Linked DNA regions of Tribolium castaneum. The protein of the gene in region 1 interacts with the protein of each later gene in a pairwise test. Links are inferred from orthologs where the notes say so. Each region holds a gene or a part of one and is shown in the gene's direction. Other genes may lie near its edges.

Region 1 (4,319 bases):
TACAGTGAAAGCTATATTTTTTTTAACGAAATCTTCCTGTTTTTGGCACAAAAATTGAGTTTATTACCAAAAATCGTGGAAAAAAATCCTTACTTTGGTTAACTTGATTCTGCACTCCTCTATAACTCTCTGGAACTCCATCTGGTCGAAAATTTGCGTCTCGAGCGCTTGAATTTTCTTGTAATACTCTATATCTTTGCCGTCCCAAACGTCAGGCTTGTGTAGGTTTTGGTAATTATCTGTGTTGGTTTTCTGGTGGTTTTTGACGATCCATACGATTCGGCCCATGAAAAGTATGCTTTCGGCCGTATCTTCAGTGATAAACATCGGAACCATAGACCAGACTATTGTGAATTTGCGGACAGGTGGTGGGCGCTTGATTCGGTGTTTCTGCAAAAAATTGTTAAAAAAACGGTTAGCGAAAAAATTCAACGTACAACTCGTGTCAGTGTGCTTTCTTCGTTTTGCTCAGGGTAGAGGAAATCCTCGTCCCAGCATTCGCCATCGCTGATGAAAAACTCTTTATAAAGGTCGACCAAGTCGCCGTAAATGATCCAGTTGCACAAGTGGCGGTAAAAAATGCTGTTGAAGCAGTGAGTTATCCTGTAAGAAAACCGCATTTAAGTGGTTTTTCAAGGGTGGGATTTCACTTTTTCGCAGCTTGGGTTATAGGTTCCACGCCACAGTAGATGTATTTGTGGAGCCGCCCCATAAGGAGGCACCCATGGAGCCTGTCCTTCTCCACGACTTGAATAATCGACATAATCACATTGAACAATACTTGGTACTTTTCCAAGCAACTTGAAATGAAAATTAACTGGAGCTCGGGGTTTTGCAAGAACTGATCTTCCAGTCTGACAATTTCGCTCTTGTAATCCCCCAAAACATCAAGCACACCGTTCACAAAAGCCTTGATGTAGAGACCGTGTTGGTCAACACTACAGTTCTGGATTTTTTTGCAAAATGAGACGATCCAGTTGTGGTTTGAGGATATTTCCATGATGTGGTGGAGGAGTTGCTTCTCCCCCGGGTGCAGGAACTCCTGGAGTTCGTCAAGTTTGCCCAACTGGAACAAACAATTGCAAGGGGGCTCCACAAAGCGGTCACAAATACCGAATCGTCCGAATTGTGCAACAAGTTAATCAGTATCTCGTGAATCATTATGGCCTTTTTTACCACCAATAAAATTATTTAACCTCAAAACATCAATTTTTGAATTAGCAAATTGCTGCCAACCTGCCCACCAAATTTTTCATTGTTAGAAATATTTAGTTTTGTGTGGTGGCACCCAAAACATTTTTTTTTCTATAAATTTCCAAAAGTGTCCAATGTGTTTTGATAATGTTGCTTCGAAACGATAACAATTTGAATTAACAACAGTTGGAGTAACTAAATTATTTGCGATTGTTTTCTCTTGTCGTAGATTTGAACTTTTGTGTTGGTGCTTTTCGCTTTCGCGCTGTAGTGTTGGCAGCGCGCAGTCCCTTATGTGAAATCGTTTGTTGGTTTGTTATTTTGGCAAAAATCGTGCATTTCGAAGTGACGCCACGAAAAATAGCCCAAATCTGTGTGCCAGAAGTGCGTGGGGCGTTCTTTTAACCCCCTGAAACCGCCCTATTGGGTAGGCTTTGAATTGACGATCGGACGCTAGCTCACTTGATGTTTGACAAAAAGCCGTGTTATTCATTTGTTTAAATGGTTGAAGTGACGTTAGAGGAGATCTCAAACTGGATCAGCCACAGGAAATGTCAGAAAACATAGATGAGTTGCGGGTAAGCGCCCCCTTTCCACCTAACCATGTTGGTGTTTGTGTAATTGGCCGATAGTTGCACATTGTTTCAGCTTATCGTGCGTTAATTTCTTGCATTGTTCAGTTGCCAGGGCCCCCTTGAGCGCGTTAATTGATCTTTGTTTTTGTTCAAGAATATGCTAATTACGTTTCGGGTGTCCGAACTGCAGATGCTATTGGGTTTTGCTGGACGGAATAAGTCAGGAAGAAAAACCGAGCTTCAACAGAGGGCTTTAGAGCTCCTTAGAGTGCGATCGCATCCGATTCATCAGAAAATCAGAGACTTGTACAAAAGTATTCAACAGTGAGTTGGCAGCGTTCGGTCGCCCCCTTGGTTCTAACCCGCTTTTCACAGGCAAGGGGGTTCCTTGAGCAACGTACCAACGCCGTCATTATCACCAGGAAGCAAAGACCACAATATGCCGCAGCCCCAAGGGACGGTGCCGAGAACCACCGCCACAGTGCACCCCTACAACATCGACAGTCGGCAATTATCCGTACGTGTCTTAACTTAAAGCAGTTTTTTTACGTAAAAAAATATTATTTTCTACATTTTTTTCTGTCATTGAGCAATTTTTCCACTGGTAAGTGATTGCTTTTTGGGGAAATAGGTGGCGCCAAGTGTTTCGACACACTCCTGAAACGGGTTCGATGAACATAGACCAAGGTTAGGGGCTCAGAAATGGACGATCCTTCTGATGTTCAGATGGGAGATGATGAATGGGTCGTTCAGAAGTCCATTTCTGAGGCCTGTAGCCCTTTTTGTTACGACTTTAAGCAGGCAATACTTTTCTGATCCCATCGTTGCTCAGAAGGTCCTTTTTTTCTTAATAAAAAATTTGTAAACATGACTCAAGGCTCTTGGTATTTGAGCCATAAATGCGATATGAATGATAAAATTGTCTAGGAATGGTCATTTGATCCAAGTTTTTATTGTAAATTTCTTGAGAAAATGCAATTATTCTGACTTTCTTATTCGTGGAATGTTTCGTAATTGTGTTTAGGTTATTATTTGTTTTATTAATGGCTTGGAGTCAATGACCGGAAATGCATAGGTAAGTCGTACGCAAGGTCATCTCTTTTAATACGGAATTGCAGTTGGTTAATGATTAATGAAATTGAACGATTGGGTAATTCTTGTTTTTATTTGAAAATCGACTTAATCAAAAAACAAAATTAATGAATGTACTTGAGGTAAATTCGCACCGTTTTATGTGTTTAAGTTGAATTAGCAAATATTTACGTATTAGGAGCTTTTTGAACAGATTTTATTGGTAAATTAGCAGTTCTTTCGCTAACTTGTATTAATTTCTGTTCAGTATCCAGTCCAGTAAAATTACTTTGGCAATTATGAATACAAGTTTTTTTTTACTATATTTGAAAAACTAATAAACGCACACAATTCAGCATTTACTATTAAATACTTTACATTGTTTTCTATTCATGTGATTTTTTTCAGAATTTTTCTACAATTCCTAATAAATAAAATGAATAATAAAAATACTAAGGATTCGTTTTCTATTAGAACTACGAGAATTTACTAAGAAATTAAAATTTTAATTCAGAATTAAATTAAATTCGACAAATTTTGATTTGCAATTAAAATATTATTAATGTTTGCTTAAAAAATAAATTGTTGAATTGTCACGAAAATCTATTAAATTCAAATTCAGCAATTAATCGACTAGCAATTTTTAAAAAATTAATAAAAAAATAGGACGACTTTTATCATAAAAGAAGATTGTAATAATCAAAAAAAAATATTTTTTTAATTAGTTTTTTGCATTTTACGCTAATACCATGAAAATTTTGGATAACGTTAAAGCATCAAATTGAAGCGTGTTGGAAACTCTATAGTTTGCGATATAATTTTTTTCGTTTGTGCAACTAGCTTTATTTATTTTTTGACTGTCACTAAAACTTGAGACATCCTGTATAGGTATTTTTGAAAGCAATTTTTCTGTTTTTTTTTTATAAATTATAATATTGTATGTTTAGACATTTTAATACACGAGCATGGGCGGTCGGAGTGCATTAATTTTTTTTTGCAGACCCGCCAGCCGTCGCTGTACAACCAAAGCGTCTACAACCCTTATCCCCAATACACCCAACAGAAATCCCAACAAGGTTCAATTGCAGCCAACAATTTCCCCATCCATCCTGATGTGAAATTCCGTCGTCTCCCCTTCTTCGACATCATCTCCGATCTGCTTAAACCCTCAACACTTATGCCACAAAGCAACCAACGCATGCAAGAGGCCACTTTCTATTTCCATCTCACCCCACAACAAGCCACAGACATCGCAAGCTCACGCGACATTCGACCAGGCGTCAAATGCGATTATGTCAAACAAGTACAATTGAGATTCTGTCTGTTGGAAACAACATGTGAACAAGATGATTTTTTCCCGCCGAATGTCATCGTCAAAGTTAACAATAAACCATGTCCTCTACCAAACCCAATACCAACAAATAAGCCGGGGGTTGAACCGAAACGACCACCAAGACCGGTTAACATAACGCCAATGGT
Region 2 (4,467 bases), on another chromosome or scaffold:
CTAAACCCTACATTAGAAGTATTGGGAGTTCTAATGATAGTTATCTGAAAATTTGTGTACAACCATAACCTTTTAGGTCCTGCTTAATAAAAATATTTTCAAAATGGTAGCACTTCCGGTTATATCAGAAGTCACTATCATGTTCCTCATTTTAAACGGAAAGCTATATTTTTTAATGCGTTTTTGAATTACTAGAGTTATTTTAAGGTTCTTTTCATAAGCTCTCACTAAACCTAAATTTATTCGTTTACAAAATATTACAAAATGTTTTTAATTTTTTTTTGGATTTGCACCTTCCAGTTCAAAAACTGATAACTCTACCACTTTTAAAAGATTTTAAATCTTTTTCAGCTTATTTAAAAGAGGAAGCCTAGAACTTTCCTTTGGCGTTTTCAAATTTCTAAAAAAGAATAACAAATAATTAAGTTATAGGTACCTGAAATTGTCCAAACTTAACCTTAAAATTTTTGGGTTTATTAACTTCATTTTCAATTTTAAACACACCAAAGAACAGATAAAGGCCTTCTTTTTTAATTCTCCTAATATGATTTCCAAATCGCTAAACTAACCGAGTTACCAATTTTTTAAGTGACAGGTGCAAATCCAAAAATTTTCAAAAAATCTTAAATATCCTAAAAACGGTAAATTTTAGGTATAGGGAAAACTCTTAAAATAACTCAACTAATCCAAAAACGCAGTGAAAAACATAGCTTTTCATTTAAAATAAGAAAGTTAACAGCGACTTCCGGTATAACCGGAAATGCTGCCATCTTGAAAATATTTTCATTGGCAGAACTTAACGGATTATGATTGACTACCAACTTTTAAAAAATTTCTTTATTAGAGCTTTCAATACTTCTAAAGTAAGGTTTAGACGGAACAGCCTGTAGTTTACCATAAATAACAATAAGCACTGAAACCTTTAGCCTGTATTTGAAGAAAACGCAATTTAAAGTGCACCCTCAAACCAATGTATCTTTATGGGAAAGCCCCGAATCTTTATTTTTTTCTGTATTTGAACTACTGAATTAATTTCTCTTTAGTGTTCTGAACTCCGAAATCGTCAATTTTGAGCCACCTTGTATTTTACGGTTTATTGAACCTAATTATTAATTTTTTGCAGCCTTGAAACTCATTCAGGAGGATTTTGACCAAGAAAATGCCAAGATCCAGGCAAAAGTTGATTTGCAGCAAGTGACGTCGAACTAATCAAATTCGCGCCAATGTTTTTGCCGCCAAATAATTATTACACAAATCCGGGTTTTTGTATTCGTTAAATTTGTTTAAAATCATACACGAAAAGTTTGAATAAATAAATTGTTCTGGAACAAATAATCGGCGACAGGGTGGCCAACACAAGTCGCGTCTGCGCGAATTCCCCTACCTGTTTTCCCAGTTTTTGTCTGTCAACTGTCAAGAAAGCACCGAAGCCCGTTAAATTTTCCTTTAGAGTTTGAATAAGGCCCCATTAAATACCCCAGTGCCCACTTTTAGAGTACGTTTTGGTCATTTCGTGCGATAATTTTGAGGTAGAGCCTGATTTTTAGTTCTAGGATGTCTGGAATTGCTCCCGCTCGTCTCGCCGAAGAACGCAAAGCTTGGCGCAAAGAACATCCTTTTGTGAGTAATTCCTTACAAAATTGCCCTCATGTAATCCATTTCTCCGCAGGGATTTGTGGCCCGACCGTCGAAAAACCCAGATGGCTCTCTAAATCTAATGAACTGGGAGTGCTCAATTCCTGGTAAAAAAGGGGTAAGTTTGTTGCATTGTTTAGTAATTGTTGGGTTATCGCATTGTTGTGTAGACGCCATGGGAGGGTGGAAATTACAAATTACGCATGTTGTTCAAAGATGAGTACCCAAGCATTCCCCCAAAATGTAAATTTGAACCACCGTTGTTCCATCCAAATGTGTATCCGTCAGGTACGGTGTGTTTGTCGTTGTTAGACGAGGAGAAAGATTGGAGACCGGCGATTACTATTAAGCAGATTTTACTCGGAATTCAGGACTTGTTGAATGAACCCAATGTTAAAGATCCAGCACAAGCAGAGGCCTACACAATCTACTGGTAAGTGGTTTTTTTACGGGGTGTTTACATTTGACGTAGTCAAGAGTGCTGTGGATATTGTGATCACGTGATCAAGGAAATTTCGTATCTAGTAATCCATGAAAATGAAAACTTAGTTTCGTAAAGAAAAGGCACTAAGACAATAAATGGACAAGGTTACACTACGGACATCTAAAGGTTAGGATACGAAATACAAATTAGTACAAATAAAGCGTTATTGTCCTCGATAGTTCCGTTAATGTCACCAGAGGGCGCAGTTGATCCATTAGCATCAAAGCCAGTAGATATACTAAAGTAGCGACACGGACCTTGACAGGGCAACAATAACGATTATATACTCTAGAGAGGGCGCAACTATCGAAATTCGACATATACCGCATTATTTACATAAAATGCGTAGCCTTGAAAAGCCTTAGTAAGTGCGTTTTGTCTCTGTTTCTACGTTTAATCTTCACTAAATGAAATTGCTAAAGGGGATGCTCTAAAGAGATATTCGTTAAAGGTCACATTAGATGATAGATTTAAATCGAGAATGTATTTAAACAGGCAGTTTAGTTTTCCAAGGCTCGACATTTTTTGTAATAACGCTGTAATTTTAAAGGTTCGCCAAATTGTCAGTAATTTTGAACATACGTCAAAACTGTCAAGATTCTCTCACTTTTGAAAAATTGGTAAAGAGCACAGTGATTCTGGCGTTCATCTGTAGTTTTACTGTGGTTATTGGTTATGAACAGATTTCATGGAACTTTCAAACCTGTGCTTAAATCACGTAAATAATAAATCGACACCAAAAACATTAAACAAAAGGGCCTCCAGACTGTTCAAAGTCGTCCACATTACGAAGCACGTCTGTGTGAGAATACTGGAAACTCATTCAAACAAAAATTGTTTCAGAAACATAAAGTGTTAGGTACCAACTTGAAAGAGAAATTTCTAAGATACCAAATTTTCAATAAGTATTTCAGGTAGATTTAAACAATACTTCCTTGAAAATTCTTCTAAATTATTAGATTCTGTCCTAATGGGAAAGAATTTAAGACCGCTCTGCTTACACTGACCTTCGTTTCACAAAATTTAATGCATCTAAATCTGGGAATTGTAGCGCATCGAAGTTTGGTGGACTTTTTATAGCCACTTATTTACAGCAACTATGGTATGCAACATTTAAATAATAAAGAGAAATTCAGGTTGTATTATTTCTATTTCTTAGGTAATATCGAGGTGTAAACCGTACCCCAAATTTTGTACACCTGTAATTTAATCATGATTCCTTCTGATTTTTCCCTAAATTTTTAAAGTGATTTCCTTAAAATTTCTTGATTTACTCAATTTTGTACACTGATTTCCTCTGCGGTTTACCTCTCGGGTAATATTGAAAACATTTTCTATTCTTATTGCGAAAAATGTCTTGGTTTCATAGCAGTTGTTAATAGTGTTGAGGGAAAAAATTAAATTTAATTAAAAAAAAATAAATCGACCAATTTAAAATCTTGGAGTAATTACATACGATAAACTGTAAAAACACTTAGAGAGGAGTTTATTAAAATTAGAAATGTAAGTATCACAATTTTTTTAAATCAAACAACTATTATTTTGAAACGTGTTTTTGGCTTTTTCGTTAAATACAAAGTTCAAATTCTTTTAAGGAATGAATTCACTGTTGAAGCGCCAGCACCTTCTTCGAAATGTCCATAAGAGTTGCTGTATTCTGCGCATTCTAAAAGCCTTTCTCATTGCAATGTTCAGTTGAATTTAGGGACGATCTGATTTACTTTTACGTGAGTGAAGCACAAGTTTGAAGGTTTCATGGTATCTGTACACATAAACTGTAATAACCAGGGTGAAATTAAAGACGATCACCGAATTCATTGTTCTGATTCACCAATTTTTCAAACGTGAAAAAATCTTGACATTTTTGACGTACGTTTTTGAATTTTGATGGTGGAGCCATCTGTAGAGTGTATAATCGTTATTGTTGCCCTGTCAAGGTCCGTGTCGCTACTTTAGTATATCTACTGGCTTTGATTAGCATCAGGTTTTCAGAGCAATGAATTTAAAAAAATTGTTGGTAAATTTTTACTTTAGCTACTTCTGGATTTTTGAAAATTTTTTTTTTGCATTTTGCTTTAAAAAGCCTCTAGATCAAAGATATGACCTTGAAAGTTTGTGCAAATGCCCCGTTTTTGAAAAATTCGACCTTGAATGACCTTGACCTAAAAATTTTTTTAAAATTTTTCCTTTAAAATTGTGCCGATTGAAAATATGACCTTGAGAGAATTTTAATTGTGTTGCCATTTGGTCATACATAACATGGGGTCGAATTATACACCTGATAGTTAAAAAAATGTTACACTCAAATTTTGTTAACACTCGCTAATAAATGATATTAACCGTAAATG

Evidence for each region.
Region 2: the proteins of Su(var)2-10 (region 1) and lwr interact in a two-hybrid assay, tested with the Drosophila melanogaster proteins (2 studies listed by BioGRID). The link is inferred for Tribolium castaneum from reciprocal best matches to the Drosophila melanogaster genes Su(var)2-10 and lwr.

The regions. Positions count from the first base shown.
Region 1 is NC_087396.1:21,169,144-21,173,462, reverse strand, and holds the start of Su(var)2-10 (E3 SUMO-protein ligase PIAS2), read left to right. Parts: upstream 1-1,459; 5' UTR 1,460-1,745; coding exon 1,746-1,772; intron 1,773-1,923; coding exon 1,924-2,093; intron 2,094-2,144; coding exon 2,145-2,286; intron 2,287-3,840; coding exon 3,841-4,319. Other genes in the region: Grip75 (gamma-tubulin complex component 4), read right to left, coding at 94-390, 438-603, 651-1,066, 1,114-1,161.
Region 2 is NC_087399.1:9,253,738-9,258,204, reverse strand, and holds the start of lwr (SUMO-conjugating enzyme UBC9-B), read left to right. Parts: upstream 1-1,347; 5' UTR 1,348-1,495; intron 1,496-1,547; 5' UTR 1,548-1,554; coding exon 1,555-1,620; intron 1,621-1,669; coding exon 1,670-1,753; intron 1,754-1,805; coding exon 1,806-2,068; intron 2,069-4,467. Other genes in the region: transmembrane inner ear expressed protein, read left to right, coding at 1,124-1,209.